4 linked regions of the Saccharomyces cerevisiae S288C genome follow. The protein of the gene in region 2 binds, or shares a complex with, the protein of the main gene of each other region. Each region holds a gene or a part of one and is shown on either strand. Other genes may lie near its edges.

Evidence for each region.
Region 1: REF2 (region 2) and PFS2 share a complex: the UniProt entries of both Saccharomyces cerevisiae proteins name them as parts of the cleavage and polyadenylation factor (CPF) complex.
Region 3: REF2 (region 2) and YSH1 share a complex: the UniProt entries of both Saccharomyces cerevisiae proteins name them as parts of the cleavage and polyadenylation factor (CPF) complex.
Region 4: REF2 (region 2) and SWD2 share a complex: the UniProt entries of both Saccharomyces cerevisiae proteins name them as parts of the APT complex.

The regions. Positions count from the first base shown.
Region 1 is NC_001146.8:37,964-43,593, forward strand, and holds PFS2 (cleavage polyadenylation factor subunit PFS2), read left to right. Parts: upstream 1-2,655; coding exon 2,656-4,053; downstream 4,054-5,630. Other genes in the region: YNL320W (uncharacterized protein), read left to right, coding at 1-591; HXT14 (Hxt14p), read right to left, coding at 744-2,366; prephenate dehydratase PHA2, read right to left, coding at 4,108-5,112; ATP11 (Atp11p), read right to left, coding at 5,361-5,630. UniProt on the Saccharomyces cerevisiae protein: Integral and essential component of the cleavage and polyadenylation factor (CPF) complex, which plays a key role in polyadenylation-dependent pre-mRNA 3'-end formation and cooperates with cleavage factors including the CFIA complex and NAB4/CFIB.
Region 2 is NC_001136.10:844,643-850,700, forward strand, and holds REF2 (RNA-processing protein REF2), read left to right. Parts: upstream 1-3,956; coding exon 3,957-5,558; downstream 5,559-6,058. Other genes in the region: FG-nucleoporin NUP42, read right to left, coding at 1-219; MSS116 (ATP-dependent RNA helicase), read right to left, coding at 1,310-3,304; YDR194W-A (uncharacterized protein), read left to right, coding at 3,429-3,581; CAB5 (putative dephospho-CoA kinase), read right to left, coding at 5,632-6,058. UniProt on the Saccharomyces cerevisiae protein: RNA-binding component of the cleavage and polyadenylation factor (CPF) complex, which plays a key role in polyadenylation-dependent pre-mRNA 3'-end formation and cooperates with cleavage factors including the CFIA complex and NAB4/CFIB.
Region 3 is NC_001144.5:695,555-701,972, forward strand, and holds YSH1 (cleavage polyadenylation factor subunit YSH1), read right to left. Parts: upstream 3,942-6,418; coding exon 1,602-3,941; downstream 1-1,601. Other genes in the region: DBP9 (ATP-dependent DNA/RNA helicase), read right to left, coding at 1-1,276; YLR278C (uncharacterized protein), read right to left, coding at 4,445-6,418. UniProt on the Saccharomyces cerevisiae protein: Component of the cleavage and polyadenylation factor (CPF) complex, which plays a key role in polyadenylation-dependent pre-mRNA 3'-end formation and cooperates with cleavage factors including the CFIA complex and NAB4/CFIB. Has endonuclease activity.
Region 4 is NC_001143.9:401,453-406,441, forward strand, and holds SWD2 (WD-repeat containing protein SWD2), read left to right. Parts: upstream 1-2,649; coding exon 2,650-3,639; downstream 3,640-4,989. Other genes in the region: SPT23 (Spt23p), read right to left, coding at 1-628; RAM2 (bifunctional protein farnesyltransferase/protein geranylgeranyltransferase), read left to right, coding at 1,116-2,066; MCO12 (Mco12p), read right to left, coding at 2,128-2,427; ATP-dependent 5'-3' DNA helicase HCS1, read right to left, coding at 3,738-4,989. UniProt on the Saccharomyces cerevisiae protein: The COMPASS (Set1C) complex specifically mono-, di- and trimethylates histone H3 to form H3K4me1/2/3, which subsequently plays a role in telomere length maintenance and transcription elongation regulation. Involved in mediating RNA polymerase II termination.

The sequences.
Region 1 (5,630 bases), on a different chromosome or scaffold from region 2:
GGTAATATTGGATACTTTATACTAATAATTGACATTTTCTATCGTCAGTTTGGAATGAGTGTATTTATTTATTCGTATCGTGGTTATGGTAACTCAGAAGGTTCACCCAGCGAAAAGGGTTTGAAATTGGACGCTGATTGTGTCATATCGCATTTGTCAACGGATTCTTTCCATTCAAAGAGAAAACTAGTATTGTATGGTAGATCTCTAGGTGGTGCTAATGCTCTTTACATTGCTTCAAAATTTCGGGATCTATGCGATGGCGTTATACTGGAGAATACATTTTTGAGTATTCGAAAAGTTATCCCATATATTTTCCCCCTTTTGAAACGCTTTACGCTTTTATGTCACGAAATCTGGAATTCAGAAGGCCTTATGGGAAGCTGTAGTTCAGAGACGCCATTCTTGTTTTTAAGTGGATTAAAAGATGAAATCGTTCCACCCTTCCACATGAGGAAACTGTACGAAACATGTCCTAGTTCGAACAAAAAGATTTTCGAATTTCCACTTGGTTCACACAATGATACTATTATTCAAGATGGGTACTGGGATATAATAAGAGATTTTCTAATAGAGAAGGGTTTTATCTAAAAGTAATAATCAAAATATTTGATAGATTTATTTACTTTACTGTATGTAAAGAAAATGTGGTCAGTCCTCACGGCCACTTAGTTACTGATGGTTATTTATTATGGAAAAAAAAACTGCACTTTGCTACTTCTTCTATTTATATTATGTAATATCTACTCCGGTTCAAATATTTTATTGATCTCTTGCTCATTCTTTTTCCTCGTTTCAGGAACTAGTATCCAACTGAATATTATCAACGCTAATAGGCAAGCAGCAAATATGTATCCTAGTTTGAAATCAATTTTGGATACAATCATTGGTGTTAAAAGTGATATTAAGAAATTGAACATCCAATTGATAAATGTGCAAATAGCCATTGATATGGCCCTCGTTCTTAGAGGGAACAATTCGGACACTAGTACAAATGTAACTGGGCCCAATGTTATTGCAAACCAAAAAATAAAACAACAAGTCACGATAATTAAAACAATATTTGAGAAGTCCGTTTCTCTTCCAAATGTCCCCACAGTAGCATATGTCATCATATAAAATAATAAATTTGTTGAACCATATAATAAACATGTCTTGTGGCCCCATTTCTCCACGTAATATATGCCTAATATCGTAGAAAGGAAGTTAACACTTGACAGTATGATTGAAGTAATATAAGGATCCTTAATCCCGACACCTTTGAAAACAGACGTTCCGTAATAAAAGAAATAATTTATTCCGGACAGCTGTTGAAATGCCATTATCATCATACCAATAATCAGTCTCAACCATAACTTTGGCTTTCCCATAATAAATTCAAATGTGTTTCTTTTAACTAAGCTTTGCTTTTTTGATTCGTTGTTAGTTTCCTCATTATTATAGTTATTTTCCAGCAAATCATCGATGAATTCAATTACCATGCTATCCGTCGCAGGGATGCCATTCATCCTCGCAAAAGAGTATTTAGCAGAGGGCACATCATTTTTGATTTTTGCCAAGTACTGTGGAGATTCAGGAACGTAAACAAGTGACATTCCAATTATAATTGCCCAAATGTATCCCAAGAACAATGGCAATTGCCAGGCTATATTTTGTGTAGGATCTTTATAACATCTTTCGCATATGAAATTTAAAATGTTTCCCATTAGTATGCCAAATGTTACAATCAATTGATACGTAGATACCATGGAGCCTCTGATTTTTAGTGGAGAATTCTCGGAGAGAAACATTGGCACCAAGACAGTGGTTACTCCCACACCGATTCCCGTTACGGCTCTTCCCAATGTCAAAAAATACCACCTTCCATAGGAGAGAATTTGAATGGTTATACCGATGCAGTACACTACTAAGGCAAACCATATACCACCTTTCCTACCAATCCAATCACCGATTTTTGACAGAGTTAAAGCCCCTACGCCACAACTGATGTTAAAAATACTGATAATTAGGCCTATTTGCAGATCAGTAAGTTTCTTAGTAGATACAAAAATTGTTTCATCGTCATGGATAATATTAGTTGTGCCAAATTTTTCTTGAAAGCTAACCATATTTGTCATTCCACCGATGGTTCCAATGTCCCATCCAAAAATAAAGCCACCAAGCGAGATTACCAAGCACAATAAAACGGGAATATGCAGACTCGCATTGTGACTAATCTTTGCTGCTTGGCCTTCTATATTTTCTTCTTTATCATCTAGATACTTAATGGTTACATTATAATCCCTTCCCCTGCCTGCATCAAGCTCATTATTGTGAAAATGAGAGATGTATCCCGAGCTATGTTGATACGGAATCTGAGCAGTCATTTCTAGCAATAATTGAAGTACTTTACTTCCTAAGAATACGTTAACAAATTCTTTGTTAGTATTTCTAATTAAAAGTGGTTAATTGTTCTGTTAAACAGTATTCAATGTTGCTATTTGAATTTGTGTCATCATTAGAATTACTGACATTTTTATTTTCTATTTTTTTTTCTATTTTTTTTCCTCTTCTTTTGAGGGCCGACGTATCGATTTGTCAAGGGAAGTATAATTAAAGAAAGCACTGATATACAGGTTGCTGGGTAGATATTAAGAAGCTCAACATAGACACGTTATGGACGGGCATAATCAGAACCAGTACCAGAATCAGAATCAAATTCAGCAGTCACAACAACCACCTCTGAAGAAATATGTGACACAGAGACGATCGGTAGACGTGAGTTCTCCGTATATTAACCTATATTACAACAGACGACATGGATTACCGAACCTAGTGGTAGAGCCAGAAACTTCATACACAATAGATATAATGCCGCCTAATGCCTACAGAGGTCGAGATCGAGTCATAAATTTGCCCAGCAAATTTACGCATTTAAGCTCGAATAAAGTGAAACATGTGATACCCGCCATCCAATGGACCCCAGAAGGCAGAAGACTTGTAGTAGCAACTTATAGCGGAGAATTTTCTCTATGGAACGCATCTTCGTTTACGTTTGAAACCCTCATGCAAGCACATGATTCGGCTGTGACTACAATGAAATATTCTCACGACAGTGATTGGATGATTAGTGGGGACGCAGATGGAATGATTAAGATATGGCAACCAAACTTTAGTATGGTTAAAGAAATTGATGCTGCACACACGGAAAGTATTAGGGATATGGCATTCAGTAGTAACGACTCGAAATTTGTTACCTGTTCAGATGATAATATCTTGAAGATTTGGAACTTCAGCAATGGCAAACAAGAAAGAGTATTATCGGGGCACCACTGGGACGTGAAAAGTTGTGATTGGCATCCCGAGATGGGGTTAATTGCCTCCGCATCTAAGGACAATTTAGTAAAACTGTGGGATCCGCGTTCCGGAAACTGCATATCATCAATTCTGAAGTTCAAACATACTGTCTTGAAGACGCGATTTCAACCCACCAAGGGAAATCTATTAATGGCGATTTCAAAAGATAAATCGTGTCGTGTGTTCGACATTAGATACAGTATGAAGGAACTAATGTGTGTAAGAGATGAAACGGATTATATGACACTAGAATGGCACCCAATAAATGAATCTATGTTCACTCTGGCGTGCTATGACGGCTCGCTAAAGCATTTTGATCTTTTACAAAATCTAAACGAACCTATTTTGACTATTCCATACGCCCATGATAAGTGTATCACCTCGTTATCATATAATCCAGTAGGACATATATTTGCCACAGCAGCTAAGGATAGAACCATAAGATTTTGGACTAGAGCGAGGCCAATTGATCCTAATGCATATGATGATCCAACTTATAACAATAAGAAGATAAATGGATGGTTTTTTGGCATCAATAACGACATCAATGCTGTGAGAGAGAAGAGTGAATTCGGTGCGGCCCCGCCACCACCAGCTACACTTGAACCACATGCGTTACCAAACATGAATGGATTCATCAACAAGAAACCGCGTCAAGAAATCCCAGGCATCGATTCAAACATCAAGAGTTCCACATTGCCAGGTTTAAGCATATAAAAGTGCGCTTTGACGAGATTTTAGGATACATAAATAAAAAGACTATATAACATATTATTTGTGATAATATCTCTCATTTCTGGGGAATGTACCCCACAGGCACCACTGTTTACTTTTGTCGCTGATATCTTCATAGAATTTTTCTTTATTCTTTGGGGTATTCTTCTCGGTGTAATATTCAATGAAAAATAAATATCGCCAGTTTCTATCATGTTCGTCCAAATGGAATGGTCTAGAGTTTATAGAACACATGTTGAGTGAATGGATTTTTAGTATGTTCAAAACATCTACCAAAGAACCAGGGTCATCTTGACGAGTAGTAAAGGTGAGTAGGTTAACCCGTAGTAATCCAGTGTCTTCTACTTCATTGTCGCCTGCGTTCTCCCTTCTCTTCAATACTAAAAATCTTGTTGTATTTCCTAGCTTATCATTTATCGAATGTTCAATGATGTACGCCTTATGCAATTGGGCAGCTGTTTCACTAGCAATGGCTAAATGCAGAATGTTGTCGCAATCGGCCGTTGATGACCGAATGCATTGGTTCACTGATTCAGATGTGGAAGAACAATCCAATCTTATAAAGGTGACCTGCGGAAATTTTTCTGCCATGGACCTTAAGTAACATTCAACCTGGCCCCATACTTGCGGATGTGAGTGTATTATGACTTCTTCAAAATTTCCAAGGGATGCAATACCATTTGGTAGTTGGATTGGGCTGATTAGACAATGGGTAATGGGTACATATTGCTCCGCTATAACTTCTATATCTGGTGTAATTCTATTAGTATCTGCTGGAGCAGGTAAGGATAGGGCTTTTTTGATCATCCTATCACGCAAGAGATCATAGGAAAAAACTACTTGTCCATTGGTGGAATTTTCCAACGGTACCACTGAATAATCTATACTAGTGTCGTTCTCCAATTGGTTAAAACATTGGGGGATAGAGGCTGCTGGGAGGTACTCAACATCAGATGTTGATTGAAATTGTTGTAATGCAGCTTGATGGGAATACGTACCTTTGGGACCCAGAAAAAGAACCCTCAAAGTCTTGCTGGCCATAATTGAAGGATGAATGCGGAAATATAATGAAGTTGCTTTTCGTACTTTTTTAGCCTGTTCTTTCTGCGTATTATATTCATCTACTAAAATTTTTATTTTCATTTTTCATTATGAAAATACAAGAGTCATGCTGATAACTGTGTAAAGAAACTGTACGCTTGTCGCAGATGATGTAGTACGTATTTTATTTACAGGTGTCATTAATATATATATATATATATATATACGTATACGGAAGTAATTCTTCGTTAATTTTCCATGGACTGTGATAGCGAAATCAATTTCTCGACGGTGAATCCCGGAGAGGCCTTAGAGAAATCTCTTAACAACTGCACTCTCTGTTTAGCAACTGGAGTTTCTTCACCCATTGCACCATAAAACCTTTGCACGTTTAGCAATAACAGCTGTGCATCCTGTACATTCACGTTTGTATCCGGTTCAACATGGCCATTCATAAAAACAATTCCCTTATCCTTGACCAAATCAGAATGGAACTGCAAGGTAGTATGTGGCCTTGC
Region 2 (6,058 bases):
GCCAGTATTGCCTGTATTGGTACCAAACTGGGGCATTCCAAATGCTGAAGTGGTGGTTCCTCCTGTCATTGTGTTTGCTGTTCCAAAACTAGGTCTTCCAAATGCACTTCCTCCCATGTTATTGGTACTAGCAGCATTATTTGTGAAAGGGTTGATACCACTTGTATTAGAAAGATTAGGCTTAGCACCCGACGTGAATGGGTTACCGAAAGCTGACATTACAGTTGAGTCGTTGCTCGGGTCGAAATTTAATGATAGCTTGATGAGCTTTTGCGTTAAAGTACAACAGTTCAGTGTTATAGTACTTTAAACATTGTGCGCTCATCTATTGATTCACTATTTTTTTTCAAATACCTTGCACCCTCAGTCGGCGTGTTTCTTGATATGCAGAATTAATATATTTCTAGATGTCAGTATATTAAGGTTAGCCCTTTGAAACGTATTATGATGTCGTTACCTTCAGCGTCGTGGTTTAGGTTTCATGTCTTGTCCTCTCGCGAATACTTTTATTTCGAAGCTAATTTACTATATAAAGAAGGTTGAAATCGCATGATAAGCTAAACAGCGTAAATAGAATTGCCGGAGCAAAATTCGTATAAGACATAATTTCCCTCCAGGCCGTAGCCAGATTAATGCTCAGTACACTGTAAAGAATTTTTTGTTTATTTTTAAGATAAGACAAGATGTCATTGATATTATTGCTAGATCACTAACAAATGGTATTTATTGATTTTTCTTTCGCAGAGCGGCACTTTAACTAGGATTTAATCATAAAAAAAAAAGTGATTGACACTGTTATTCAGTTCTGGACTATCGTATAGACTATTTTCATTGTTAATAGGCTCAGCTGTTCATAAAATATGTGAAAATTTTTCAACGATTACCAAGCCCACGATTGTCTCGTTGGCAATATTCAGAATGAAGTTTTCGTAATATGGCTATGTCCGTGATCAATCGCCTAAGACACCCTGACTTTTCAAGTAAATTCTCAAAAGCTTTCTTCCATCCGTTTAAATAAGAATTACAATGTTAGAATTACTTTTCCTTTGAGAGGAGGAAGAGCGAAAGTAAGAATGGAGGTACCGGTCGTAAATAAGCATTGACGAATAAATATACCAGTAGGATCTTCGTATAGTTATCATTTTAAGAGAATAGGAGAAGAAAAAAAATTTTTGTTTAATATTTATATACTAGGTATTTACACGTGAAAGTATTGAATCAAGATGGGGTCTAAAATACAGGCGTCTTAATAGAGGAATTGTTATTTAAAATACAACCCACATCTCTTGGTCCTCCTTTTTTATCTTTTCTAATATATGTTGCTGTTTCTACTGGAGTAATTATTTTTATCATTACTACGGGAGAATGAGCGTCTATTGTTGTTGCTGCGTCTAAACGGTTCGTCATCGTAATCTCTATTTTGGCTCCTATTATTATAGTTTTTGTTGCCTCTGAAAGAAATTTCTGAATCATCATCATAATCGTAGGACTTGTTATTTCCATCTCTACTACTATAGTCTCTAATTTCAAACATTGCCTTACCAATTGGACTACGGCTCAAACCTAATTTATCTAAAAACCTTCTGGATACTGGAATCTTTAATTGAGGATCATTTAACAGTACACCATAAGTGGAAGCAATTTCAGGAAGTATGCGCCTTTCAGAAAACCTGTATTCCTTGATACAGGATCTGTAGGATGAGATTAAACTTATTACAATATCTGATATGTCTTCCGGTTCTTCGGTCACTGCCTCTAGGACCTCAGATTTTATTTCTTCACTGGGCTCATATTTTTCTTGTTTGGCAATGACTATATTTTTTGCATCTTCCAACTCTCTAACAAATGGCAATTCATCTTTACAAATGAATAGCACAGAAGATCCTTCTTTCCCACTTCTGGCTGTTCTACCAATTCTATGAATATAATTAGCCAACTCAGATGGAACACCAATTTGCAAAACTTCGTGGACGTTTGGGAAATCCATACCACGGGCTCCCACATCCGTACAAACCAAAATACCGGATTCATCTTTTTTGAATCTTTTAACTAAACTTGTTCTTTTATTTTGAGTAATTTTACCATGAAATTCCAAAATTGGTAAATCTTTCTTAAATTCATTCTTTAAAATACTGCACAAAAAGGATGTGAATTTAACAGTTGGTGCAAAAATAATGGCTTTGTAATTAGAATCTCTTTCCTTTATTTGTTTCTTTATATGCTCCACAGCAGCAAATATACTATTGGCAAACTTTTCTGAAATGACGACAGACTGATCAATTCTTTCATGTGCTTCAGGTTCATTCTTATCTACTGTGTCTAAAAAGAGACATTCTTTTTTATTCATGATATTGTTTGCCAACTTTTGTACTTTGTCGTCCAGAGTAGCAGAGAACAACAAAGTCTTGATATTATCGGCTGATTTGGAGTTCTTTTCATTTAAAATACCAGAAATAGTTTCTAAATCATCCCTGAATCCAATTTCTAGCAATCTGTCAGCTTCATCTAGCACTTTGTAATCTACGAACCTAAAAAATTTGTTGGAGTATTTTTCCAAAACATCAATCAATCTCCCTGGAGTGGCAATTACAATGTTTGGTCTCAACTTATTCATTTTATTCATAGCTGCCCTGAAGTCAGTACCACCAACTAAAGAGACACAAGCGTACTTTTTCAAGCCATAATTCATATCGTGGATTTTTTTCACCTCTGCTTCGATTTGCAAGGCCAAATCTCTTGTTGGTGCGACAATAACAGCTTTTACCATATATTGAGAATCGAACTTCGTATTTATCAAATGCTGGAAAATTGGAATCAAGAAGGCAAATGTCTTACCTGTACCGGTTTTAGCTCTTGCGATAACATCATGGTCTTCACTGGATAATATTGGTTTGATAGTCTTTTGCTGTACAGGAGTTAAACCGGGAAATTCCATCCTGGTAATGGCTTTATGTATTTCTTTATCAAGGACTCCTTCCTCCAGTAAAGAGTCCAGCGTTACTTCTTTACTATTATCTTCTTTTGGGACGTGAATTAGTTTGGAAAAAGTGGTCTTATCAAAGTGCACTTCATCATCGTCTTCTCTAGACCTTGTCCTTGGGCGAGAATTGAAACGGGAGTTTCTATACCTGTTACTGTTGTTGTTTCTCTGATTCCTACCAAAATTTCTTTGATCTCTGTTTCCATCATTGTATAATCTTCTTGAAACAGCCCAAGTAATATGGTTGCAATTCGAGAGAGCTGCTAATAAATTTCTGCTTGCAAGAACAGGTGTGCGACCTTTTATCAATATAGAGGTCAACATTTATCAGCCTAACGTGCAACTCTGGTATTTTCTTGCCACTCTGAGACACCATAGTGGCCATCAATACTTCCCTTCTTTTTATAGGAAAATTTTATTCTTTCTATAATATCACTACAGACGGAGAATGAAACAGATGATGATTGAAGCATCCATAAGTAAAGACACTTTGAGGTTGCTAATTTGCTTTTTTGAAATAAAACAGTGCCATATATCACTCCAGCCTACTTGTTATTATCAGAATTGGGTACGGTATTCATCTATATATTACCAGTTGTAAATCACGATATATCACGATACACGACTCTCCGGCGCCAGCGTTTTTCGTCAGTTTTTCTCAAGGCGGTATAAAAAATCGATGATATTCGATTGAGGCACTTGTTAACAAGCATACACTGTTGGAGGCAGAACAAAACAAGCATAACTCTTTTGTACTGTATTGTACTCTACCGCTCTGTATCACGTCGGCACACCAACGGTTTCTTTTGGCGGGTCTATTATATATATTATATATACTTTTATCAAGACATCGTGTGAGTAAGTGAGGTTAAAGCTCAAAAACCTACAAGCAAAGGCACAAGGAAATCGAAAGGACCAAGAAAGGAAAAGAAAAGAAACGATACGATAAGTAAAGACACTGTGGAAGAATTGAACAATGTCAGCACCTGTTCCTCAATTAGTAAATATTTCTCATGCCTTGCAAGCTTCCACTATCCAGCAAATTCGTTTGGATATGGTAGATTTTAATAAAGATTGCAAATTATCTTCCATTCAACTGGCAAGAATTGACAAGTATATCGATTCTTTGCAAGCGGCTTTGAATCAGTTTACCAAAGATAACTTGCACATAGAACGGAAGGAAAAGAACGTGACTGAAGCAGATATACAGCTGTATTCTGGCTTAAAATCAATGTATCTAGATTATTTGAACCAGCTAATTAAACTAAAGCATGAGAAACAACACCACTCTACACCGCCCATCGCTAATGATGTCTCCCTGGACTTCTTCGTTAACCAATTGCCTAAGTTTTCTCCCGAGGAAAGGAAAAATTACATTGACAATTTAATCCTGAATAAAAATAGCCATAATCGATTATCTAAAATGGATGGTCTGGTAGATGCAGTCATCAATTTATGCGTCTTGGATACTTCCGTTGCTGAAAATGTACGATCCTATATGAAATTATTAGATACATTGGGTTTCCAAAAGGGTTCGAATAGTACTGGTACAAAGGCCAACCTCAAAAAGAAATTGGCTAGTTCGAAAGCAAAGATAAAGGATTCAGAAAAAGAAAAGGAGAAGGAGAAGGATAAATCAAAAGTCAAGATGAAAACTAAATTAAAACCTTCTCCTTTGCTCAATAACGATGACAAAAATTCTTCTCCATCGCCTACTGCATCTACCTCTTCAATGAAGAAATTGAAGTCGGGTTTATTCAATAAAAATGAAGCTAAGTCTACAGAATCTCTACCTACTTCTTCCAAGAAAAAACTATCATTTTCTAAATATCTGAACAAGGATGACGCAGATATGACCAAGCTTGGGACTAAACGGTCAATAGATGTGGATTTCAAAGTCAACCCCGAAGCATCCACGGTGGCTTCTAATATCATATCTTCGTCAACGTCAGGATCGTCAACCACAACGGTAGCGACTCCTGCTTCTTCAGAAGAGCCCTTAAAAAAAAAAACCAAAATATCCGTGCAAGACTCTAATGTACAATCGATTTTGAGAAATGGTAAACCGAAAAAAGCACGCATAAGTAGCATCAAATTTTTGGATGATTCCCAACTAATAAAAGTTTACGGTGACGATCTACCGAACCAAGGGCTACAAGTTTCTCCTACTCAATTGAAAAAAATTCTGAAACCATTCAAGGAGGGGGAACCGAAGGAAATTATATTGTTCGAGGATATGTCAATCAAATTAAAACCTCTTGATTTGATGTTTCTGAAGAACACAAACAGTGATGACTATATGGATATATCCGAGACTAAAGGTGGCCCAATACATTGTGAAACAAGGACCCCGTTGATCTATAGAAAAAATTTCAATCATTTCAACCCGGACTTGAATAAAAGGCCGCCAAGAGAACCCATAGAATTCGACTTAAATGGAAATACGAACTCAACCCCGACTATAGCAAAGGCTTTCGGTAAAAATAGTTTATTACTAAGGAAGGACAGAGGTGGTTTGCCATACAAGCATGTCCCCATAGTAAAAAGAAATAAATATCCTCCAAGACCAGTACACTAAGCTATGACATGCTGATACATAAACATGTAGTATATATACTCATTTTATATAATGTAATTATAAGATATCAACCTTATACCGCTGAAGACTTTTTATTTTGAAGTTTTTTCATCAGTAATCTGGACATGACGATGCTACTGGCACTTACGGCCCCAAAAGGTGGGAAATACTCCAAAACAGTTCTTAATTTACTAGGTTGGATTTTTTTTACAACACTTTCAATCTGTTCGTATAAGTCAACCAATGTGCTGTTATTTTGTAGGATATAGTCAGATCTTGCCATCCTTTCTTCAGTGCTCATTTGACTATTTAGCCTGTTTTTTGCATCTTCTTCACTAAGTTCAGGATTTCTTGTCATTAATCTTTCTAGTTGCAATTCTTGCGTACAAATTACGCTTACAGTCACTCCGCATATTGAATCCAGATTTCCTTCAAATAAGAGTGGCACATCCAATACACACATTCTATATCCCTTCAAGTAATAGTAGCCAATTTCTTTG
Region 3 (6,418 bases), on a different chromosome or scaffold from region 2:
ATGAAATTGCAGTACCGGTCTTTCCGCCACGAGCAGTTCTACCTACTCTATGCACGTAGGACTTAGCCGTCGTAGGTAAATCGAAATTGAGGACACATGCAACATTTTTGAAATCAACACCACGAGAAACACCATATTCCTTATCTTTCTTCACTTGGACCTTCTTTTTCTTGCTTGGTTTCTTATCGTTCTCAGGCTCGCCTTCCAAGCTTTTTTCTTCTTGATTTTCTGTATTGTGCCCTTCTTCTATTTCGTCATCTTCCTCTTTTATGTACTCGGTGTCATCTGTGGCAATCAATAGTTGGTAAACGTTTTTATTGAATTGGTCAACAATATGTTGCCTCGAATTAACGGGTAGCTCGCTGTTTAAAATACAGGACTTGATACCAAATTGTTCCATAACTAGCTTGAGCCTATATCCTCTGTCAATATTATTTACAAAAATTAATGTTTTACCCTTGATTAAGTTAAGTTTAAAAATGACATAGCATAGTAAGAATTTGTCAAATTCACTGACTTTAACGTAATATTGAAGTAATTTGTTTTGGTTCTTATTTATTTCCTCGTCATTGAATTTAAGAATAGCTGGAGAACGACAAAATTTTTGTTTCAAAGCCTGTATATCGTCATTTAGGGTTGCACTCATCAAAAATGTTTGTAAATTTTTTTTCAATGGTAAGTACTCTCCAATTTTGTTTAAATCATCTTGATAACCAAATGTTAACACTAAATCCACCTCATCAACTACTAAAAATTTTAGTTCGTTCAATGAGATAGAATTAATCTTTGTTTGCAACAAATCCAATAATTTACCAGGTGTACCAACTATGATTTCTGGTTGATCCATAAGTAGAGTGCTCAAAACTGAGTCAGACATATCGGATGATATGTTCAGAGTTCTTATATCTTTTGAACAATATAAGACTAGTTTTTCTAAAACATTATATACTTGTTGAGCCAGTTCTCTTGTTGGAACAAGTATAATACCTAGTGTACCATTTTCCTCTCCGTTATCAATTGTTTTTTTATATTCTAGGATAGTTTCAATTACAGGAATGAGGTATGCCAAAGTTTTTCCGGAACCTGTAGCGGCCTTTGCTATAATATCTCTCTTCTGTTGTAAAGCCAAAGGAATAGCATGTGATTGAATTAATGTTGGGTACTGAAATCCTATATTCTTAATAGCTTGTAATAAACGAGAGTCGAGATGAAATGCTTCGAACGTTGTAGAATCGTCAATATAAGCGCCTTCCACAGACTTTTTCTCATAGCTCATTTTTTTGATCTTTCGTTGCAGTTTTGGCTTAGTCTATTTCTTTTGTGAGATAAATTGTAGATTGACTATAACTATCAGCCAAAACAAAAGGCTCTTACTCAATGAAAGAAATTAGAAGAATCGAAATGAAATGAGATGAGATGAGATGAGATGAGATGGTCTAGAAGAGTTATTCTTTATGTTCGTGAAAAAAAATTTTTAAAATTTCATCTCTAGGTTTCATTACGTAAAGAGTGATTAAGGTAAACAATAAAAGGCAGTTCTAACCAGATTTTGGTTTGGTATTACTTCTATAAAGTAGTCTACTTAGTATGCGTAACTGTTTTTAACATAGCGGTGTGACCAAATTACCACCAATATTTAAGAGGCTTTCCACCCTACCTTTCAAAGGATTTGAATTACATTCTAAAATTTTCATATTGTTGAAGTCAATCTTAGCAGTGCTTTTACCTATGGTAACCACTCCAGTTATAGTTTCCTCTTTATTACTTGCATATTCATCTTTATTGAGAAATAAAGTAAAACAGTCACCAAACTGTTCTTTAAACAACCTTGAGATTTGCTTCACCCTCTCAACTTCATCAATCTTACCTTGTGCATTAGACTGCACATTGTTATGATCATGATCATCACAAGAATGACTCGAAAGCTTGACACTGGCGGGAGCTGAATCCACATTCATAAGTATAGCAATAATGGAGTCTGCTACAGTGTCATTCATTAAATCTTGAGTCCATTCCACAACGGCTAGAGTATTAACAATAGTTAACTTAATATCACCCATTATCTGTAGAATCAATTTACCTGTATTGGTCAGATTGTCTTTTGACTCTTCTTTAACCTTTGGTTCTTGATTTGTTACTCTATCATCATCTTGAAGAACTTCAGCCTCTCCAAACATTTGTAAAATGTGCCAGTAAATTAGCTCCTTTTTACAATTTACACGAACTGACTGGCGCTCTCTTAATATCGTTGTAGAAAGATCGGGATGGTGCTCTCTTAAATCAGACAAAGAAAGGAAGTCTAATTCGAAATTTTTGTCATCTGAAACTAGAATCCCAGAAACGACTATGTCTTTGTGTTCCTCTTCATCAACCAAACCTTTTTCTGCTTGAGAATCCAAGTTGTCTTCGTTTTCTTCCTTTATAGGTTCAATTTTAGCCGCAATTTCTTCCTTTATCTCTACGTTTTCTTCTTTATATATTTCGTTCACAATATTTCCCACAGCTTTTGCAACCTTGACACCTTGAAATTCAAGATCTACTTCAACACAGTTTCTAGGATTAAAAACATGGACTTCATTATCTGTACCCTTTAAAGACGCGAAATTGGATAACAATGCAGATTTCAAACGGCCCATGGGATTGGCTTCTCCATGAACAAGGATGATATTTGGCGCACTAATCTTTTCAATAAATTCTAAATTTTCCTGGAAGTCAACGTGTGCGGCAAAGGAGATTTCTTCAACTTGACAACGTCTTGGAATGGTTATTTCCGGATTATTTATGGAAGGTATTGTATCTGGCTCAAGCATAATAAATTTCGCCATTGTTCCTTCGATGGAGTAACCGGTGATTAGTACTAGATTTTTATCTTCAGGGCACCACCTTTCAAGTAAATCTCTTGATAACCCACTTTGCAGCATACCTGGTGAGGCCAACATCACACTGGGACCAAAATCTTGGAAATCCTCCAAGTTTCTAAGATAAGATATATTTTTGAATATGAAGGGATTAGTCTGAGAGTCTCTAAATTTTTTTCTAATGTCATCATTCATCATATTTACATAGGTTTGAAAAACGCTCATACATTTTTTTGCCAAATTTGATGCATAAAATATTGGGACTTGTCCACCACCGAGTTCATCAGCATGTTGAGACCAGTACTCATCCAGTATAAGCATGATTTCTTGAGCTCTCCCTAAAGCAAAAACAGGCAGTAGAACACGGCCTCCTCTCATCACTGTGGAATGGATTAGTTGGGTTAGCTTCCTTTCTCTATTTAAACGGGGCTCGTGAGTAGCGGTACCAAAGGTAGATTCCACAATTAATACGTTGGATGAAAGTGGAGGCACCTCAGCAGAATTTAAGTGACGATCTACTTCTCTCGAATAGTCACCTGTGAATAACACCCTAAGGCCAGCAATCTCTATTTGAAACATCGCTGCACCCAATACATGGCCTGCATGGAATGCCGTAAATTTGATACCATTGACGTCAACAGTAGAATGATAGTCCACCGTTTCAATTTTATCGAAAGAATCAACTAAATCCTCATCTGAGAATAGACCTTCGTCTTTAGTCCCCATAGAGGAGGATGAAGAACCTATACTAGTAACTCTTACAAAATCTCGCAGTAGCCATCTGTAAATGGCTTTGGTTGGATGTGTCATGAAAACTCTGCCTTGAAAGTTAGTCCGTTGCATCACATACGGAAGTGAAGCGGCATGGTCTAAATGGAAATGTGATATCAGTAAGATATCGACTTTGGAAAGATCAAATTCATCGTAAAAAGGTAATGAAGCTAATCCTTGATATGCCGGATGAATTCCTGCGTCGAGCATCACTGTTTTACCTTTATATTGCAATATATGACATGATCGTCCAACTTCGTTACTTCCTCCCAATGAAAAAAATTTGAATGTTGTTGTATTTGTTCGCTCCATATATGCGTATACTTATTAATGTTAACTTATTATGTTACTTTTTATTTCCTCAATGGACAAAATTCAATTGATAATACAATGTTTCTTTTGTGCTGTAACTTTTGAAGTACTGAAAACAAGGGTAAAAGAAATAAACGCTTATACCCGTGAACATTTTGAACCTATTAGATGTGATCTCAATATGTATTGCGCTGAAGCAGTAGAAGTTGTTAAAGATCCGCTAGTTTTTCATAATTTTCGGCCAGAATAACTGCTTACCCGTATTTATTTGCAAACACGCTACTTAGTCTTTTGGAGAGGACTTTATACAGGAAAGAAAGAGTTTTATTGATTTTAAAAACAATATAAATGAAAGAAAAAAATGTGTTTTAGATTAGGCTTATAAGATATGACCCATATCATAATTAAAAAAAGCGATTTAGTTGTTCTTTTAAAAAAAAAGAGAAAAAAAAAAAAAAAAAAAAAAGGAATGAGTTTGTACATACTATTATATTAATGTAGTATCACGTTAAAAAGCCGTAGTCATCATTAATCGTCCAAAAGTCTTCTACCGGACCAGATGTCATCATGTTATCCCAGTTAGAACGCTTTTTCCTGATGTCTGCGTTAGTTACTGTAGGAATAACATTGTCGAAATGCAGATTTGCGCTAGTGTTTGCTTCCACCTGTGTTTTAGGTCCATTCTTCTCTGTTTCGTCAAGATTATATTGTACACCTTCCTGATTGGACATCATGAACAAATTTCTGTTATACGAAGGGTCATTCTGCGTCTGTTGAAAATTATTAGCGGTTACATTGTTTTCAGAACACATATTTTGTTGTTGATGTTGTTGCTGCTGTTTGTCCATGGACAGAGATGAAGGCTCTTGACTCTGGGGAAATATTGTTTGTAGTATGGACTTGCTATTCAAAGCATCTAGAACGGAGTTATTGGTCCAGGTGGAAATATTGTTGATCATGTCATGAGCACCGTTGCTGAAAAGTATATCGCCCGAAGAAGAGCCATTTCGAGCTTGTTTGACACTGACCGGAATTGAATTGCTAGTAAATGACGCTGGTATCGAGGAGATAATATTATTGCCATAATCTGCTCTTAGGGGTGATGTACTGAAATTTGATTCTTCGACATCTCTTAATTGCTTATTTTCACTTGTATGGTTAGAGAATATTGCAGATTGTAGAGGATTACTGTTGATCATACCATTGTTTAATTGATTCGTAAAATTGCTTTCTGAGAATCTTTGTGGAGAAGTAATATGTTGTTGTGGCTGCTCCCGCTGTTGTTGCGGCAGTGGTCGTGATACATGCTGTTGCGGTAGCATATTGGAAGTTTGAGGATATGGAGTTGGGCTTTGCGTCATCGCTATTGGAATCGGATCCGAATGCGAAGAGGCTGTAGATATGCTAGAAGATTTTGAAGGACTTCTATTGGTCATAGTATCGGTGTTCAGGGACGATAGATACGCTTGTAAATTGTGCTGAGCTAGTTGCTGTTGTAGAAAGGCCTGCTGTTGAAATACTTGCCAATCAAACTCTGTTTGGTTGGTTGGTTTCTTGACGATATATTGGTCTTGAATAGGCCTTTCTACATCATTTTCCATAGTTACGTTGTTGTTACGAACATACTGGCTGTTGTTGCCATTATTGCAGCTGTTGTTGGTAGTGCTTCTGCTATTACTTTCATTATCATTATTATTAACATTATTATTATTATTACTATTATTATTATTATTGTTATTATTATTATTATTATCATTATTATTGTTGTGATTATTGTTGTGTTCTCTGTTGACGCTGCTGATGGTCATACCATTGTTATCATTGTTTACATTGATTTTCAGGTTTTTTTCTTGGGAAGAAGGAAACGATAATGTCGACGATGATGACGAAGAAGAAGATGATGACGAAGAAGATGTTGTATAAGACATTGAAGAATTTGAAATACGTGACCTGTCATCCATTTTGGTTAATAGGTGAGCTAAACTTTTGGGTACAGAGGTCTTTTCTAAAACACCTTGCTTCTTCTTGAATTTCTCTTGTTCAGCCAAATCCACTTGTGAATTTTCCACAAAACCGGCGTGCTCTTCAGCTTGTCCTTTACCAAATATTCTAGCCACAGCAGGCGGCATACCGCCATTATGAGATATATTTTTATCGTTTGAATTGGATAGATTAGCTGCATTTGCGGAGTTAGAATCATGAAGAGTATCCCCAGATGAAATTGCCTTATTGGCCTCATCATTGATGTTCTTGGGTTCAGTACGCTTGGCGACACTACTAGCCATGAAAATTAACTCAGAAGAGTCTGGACCACATCTTTCAATCAAATTACCTACCGTGGCATTCATTAACTGATCGAAAGTATCTCTAAAGGTTCTTGCAAAATTAGACCTTTCTGTCATAACATATAAACAAACGGAGCAAGCTCTCAAATCATCCATCGTCGAAAAGAGACTTGCACTGATTAAAGGTCTAGT
Region 4 (4,989 bases), on a different chromosome or scaffold from region 2:
AAACATAGGTCTGCTTGAAGTTGTTGCTATTGTTGTTAGATGCACACAAAAGAAAGGCGTCCAAGAAAAGAGTCCTTTCGTTGATGTCCCTATTGGGTATTGTCAAGTTGGTGGGATCGTCCGAGCTGGTGAAAAACTTGTCCTTCGCTATACAATCAGAGGGCAGATGAATAAAGAAGTTTTTTCTTGCATGTGCGTTTCTAATCCGAAAACTCAGCTTCATCTGAGTTTCCACCCTAGAAACCTTCGGCAACCCAATAATTTCTAGAGACAATGGAAGGGACTGCGGGTTAATGTTGATAAAATCCAGTGGATTCGCGTATGGCGTCCTCAGAGGTAGCTTTCTGCCAAATTGAACGTGTCGATCAAGCAATCCTTGCAAAGATGCGATGTCATCCCTGAGCTCCCCTTCATCTTCCTTACCTGGTGTAGTAGTACCTGCTGTTATCATTTTCTCTTGGTTCAGACTCAATAAACCAGGGTCTTGCAGAGAGGACCCAGAGTTGAGCAGAGCAATATCCAGTAATTCTGATTCTAGTAAATCCAAGTCCGGAGAGCCATCGTTGTGCTGTATGTTGGCGCTATAGCTGTGGAGCATCGAGGAAACGTTTCCTGTGCCACTCATCATTTTCAGTGGTGTACTACTGTTGTGATTAGTCGTTTAGAGGATATCTAGAGTATAATTATTTTGAATGAGTTTCGTTGACATTTTCAGTTCATGCGATCATCTTACTTTCATGGTTGCTCCTTGCCGTTAAAATTGAAACGAAAAAAGCGGGAATACAACAATGTCACCTTACACGAGCAGAGAAAAGGGCAGCAATAGCGACAATAACCGATAATGCCAGGCCTTCCAGAGCCCTATGCTGACCTATATTCATCATGACGCTATCCATATGCAACTAGAGACCTGCTGGGAAGCGCTCTCTCATTTTTGAAGGTTGCAGCAGTGCTCGCGCCGGTTTTCGATTGGGCCTCGTGATAAAACACATCAGCAAAGTTTCGCTTTTGACATTCTGTTAAATTGGTCCTTAACTGTTGGTGCAGACCTACTGCAAGACTGTTAATTATGGTATATTATATATCAAGTGCTGATACAACGTACACCATCGAAAATGGAGGAGTACGATTATTCAGACGTTAAACCTTTGCCCATTGAGACAGACTTGCAGGATGAACTGTGCAGGATTATGTATACCGAGGATTATAAGCGGTTGATGGGACTCGCAAGGGCTCTGATCAGCCTTAACGAACTGTCACCCAGGGCACTACAGCTAACAGCCGAAATTATCGACGTGGCGCCAGCCTTCTACACCATATGGAACTACCGATTCAATATCGTCAGGCACATGATGAGTGAATCCGAAGACACTGTCTTGTACCTGAACAAGGAATTAGACTGGCTAGATGAAGTTACGCTGAATAATCCAAAGAACTATCAGATCTGGTCCTATAGACAGTCTCTTTTGAAGCTACATCCGTCTCCTTCCTTCAAAAGAGAGCTGCCTATCTTAAAACTGATGATTGATGATGATTCCAAGAATTATCACGTTTGGTCGTACAGAAAGTGGTGCTGTTTGTTCTTCAGTGACTTTCAACATGAGCTCGCCTACGCCAGCGACCTCATCGAGACAGACATTTATAACAACAGCGCATGGACTCATAGGATGTTTTACTGGGTGAACGCTAAAGATGTCATTTCAAAAGTGGAATTGGCCGACGAGCTCCAGTTCATTATGGACAAGATTCAATTGGTTCCGCAGAACATCAGTCCGTGGACCTACCTCCGTGGTTTCCAAGAGCTATTCCATGATAGGCTACAGTGGGATAGCAAAGTAGTCGACTTCGCCACAACCTTCATCGGTGACGTATTGTCACTTCCAATTGGCTCACCAGAGGATTTGCCCGAGATCGAGTCCTCATATGCCCTGGAATTCCTGGCATATCACTGGGGGGCAGACCCTTGTACCCGAGACAACGCTGTTAAGGCCTATAGCTTGCTAGCAATCAAATACGATCCTATTAGAAAAAACTTGTGGCACCACAAAATAAATAATCTGAACTGAATATATGTAAGCACTCTATTTGTACGAATATATTTACGTGTGTACGTGCATGCACGCAAGTTTAATCTAGTTCTACAAACCTACTGCTGTATTGAGATTGATCTCTTCCCCTTCGTTTTGGACCGCTATCATTGATGCGTCCAAACCCGTCCTCGTTCAACTGCTTTCTGAAAAATTTAGAACGTTTAACCATCTTCAGCGTCCTTGTGTAGCACATCTCTCCCCATGACAGATATCTATGTATCCAGCCGCCCAACTGATACTGGTTGTAAAAGAATATCATTCCCGTCTCCCTTCTTATTGCCGATAGGAGCATAGCTACCAACGTCCCCTCTACTACCCACCTTATCATTCCCAACATCTTGCAATATGTTACGATCTGATCTTCACTCTCTTTTGCTCCTTCTTTTTGCTGTTTAACTGTTACCTACACTCATTTATTCGATACCTTTTTTTACCCATTTTTTCTTCATGCAGTTTAGCACTAGTACATTAAAAAAGAAAGAAAAAAAATGAAAGCAAGACTAAAATATCGAGCAAAGCACAAGCAAATACACCGTTTGTCCTTTTAGCATAGCCAACAATGACCACCGTGTCCATCAATAAGCCCAACCTGCTGAAATTCAAGCATGTTAAAAGCTTTCAACCTCAAGAAAAAGACTGCGGACCCGTAACCTCATTGAATTTCGACGATAATGGCCAGTTTCTACTGACCTCTTCTTCCAACGATACAATGCAATTGTACAGTGCCACGAACTGCAAATTCTTGGACACTATAGCCTCTAAGAAATATGGCTGTCACTCCGCTATCTTTACGCACGCACAAAACGAATGTATCTATTCCTCTACAATGAAAAATTTTGACATTAAATACCTTAATCTGGAAACAAACCAATATCTAAGATATTTTTCCGGTCATGGCGCCCTAGTGAATGATTTGAAGATGAACCCCGTGAACGATACGTTTCTATCGTCGTCATACGATGAATCCGTTAGGCTTTGGGATTTGAAGATCTCTAAACCGCAAGTTATTATACCAAGTCTCGTACCAAATTGTATCGCATATGATCCAAGTGGCCTTGTATTCGCATTGGGGAACCCAGAGAATTTCGAAATAGGGCTATATAATCTGAAAAAAATTCAGGAGGGTCCTTTCTTGATAATTAAAATTAATGATGCGACTTTCAGTCAATGGAATAAATTAGAATTTTCTAACAATGGAAAGTATTTATTAGTTGGCTCCTCGATAGGAAAGCATTTAATTTTTGACGCATTCACAGGTCAACAATTATTCGAACTAATAGGAACAAGGGCCTTCCCGATGAGAGAATTTCTAGATTCTGGATCTGCTTGTTTCACACCAGATGGTGAATTCGTCCTTGGAACCGATTATGACGGTAGGATTGCCATTTGGAATCATTCTGATTCAATAAGTAACAAAGTATTAAGGCCGCAAGGGTTCATTCCCTGTGTTTCTCATGAGACCTGCCCCAGGTCAATTGCATTCAACCCTAAATATTCGATGTTTGTTACCGCAGACGAAACAGTAGATTTTTACGTGTACGATGAATGACTGCTGCTACTGCATTGATATACTAGAGGATATAATATATAACGAACATTTTTTACCTACTGTATAACGACGTATACTCTATACATCTTGTGTATTCTTTACAAATAATCGTCAATGTTGGGGTACCTTACGTCAGCGTTCTCTTCACACCATTCTGACCAACTTTTTAGGTACTTGTTACCGCACCTTTGCAGAACTTCTATATTGCCAACAACAACTAGTTGCCTTCTGGGTCTTGTCATGGCGACGTTCAGTCTTCGTTCTTCCTTAAGGAAACCAACTTCAAATTTTTCATTGCTACGAACTAAACTCAATATGATAACATCTTTTTCACGGCCCTGGAACCCATCTACAGTTGATATTTCAATATCAGTTAATTTTAATTCATCATGGATCAATTTTTTCAGATGAGAAACTTGTGCATTGTATGGAGAAATAACACCTATAGAGTTCTCCGGGACGTTGAATGACCTTAAATTCTCAATGTGTTCTTTTACAATGGCAATTTCGCCCTCATTATACTTAGATCCAAGGATAGTAGCTTCATCTGCAGTCTCTTGAAATTCATCACCTTGCGTATCATACCAAATTAAAGGAATTTTTGTATCGTCATCATCCTCAGATGGCGTAGCATCGACGGTCGGTAGGTCTATCAAAAGTCTGTTCGCGACCGTTGCATCGGCCAATAGTTTCCCATTATACATTGAGTGCGATGGAAATTCCATAATTTTTTGATTCATCCTGTATTGAACGTTAAGAAATTTTACCATATCCCTTTTCGGGAATATTTTGATTATTCTGTCAAATAGTGTGGTTTCCAAATTGTGAATGACATTTTTGTCGTCTTCTGTTTTGATTGTGGGTGGCAATTGTTTATTGTCACCAGCAAGGACTAGTTTGTGGAACTGATTTTGATGTGCAATTAGTGGGATCCAGCATTGTGGTTCCATGGCCTGTGAGACTTCATCGATGATCAAGGTATCGAAAAGCTGGAAATTTGGATCATCTCTATAAAGGGAGCATAGTTCTCTCGATGATGAACCGTGTAAAGTGGTGACGACTATTCTCGATTGTATTATTAAGTCCTTAATGGTTTTGAACTCTCTTTTCTTTAAATCTTTGCGCAGCAGTTTAATTTCGTTCCAGTTTTCTTTACGTTGCTTATAGTTTTTTAGTTTTTTATTCTCCTGAATTAATTTGTCAATCTCCTGGGAAATGTCCTTCACAATAGTATTCTTTTTACTAAGTATATCAAGAGAGTGTCTTTTATTAGAGTCTAATAGCCTAGCAGGATGACCGATTCTTAATAATAAATTATTCGGCACAAGAGGCGTTAGCCTCTCCAGAATC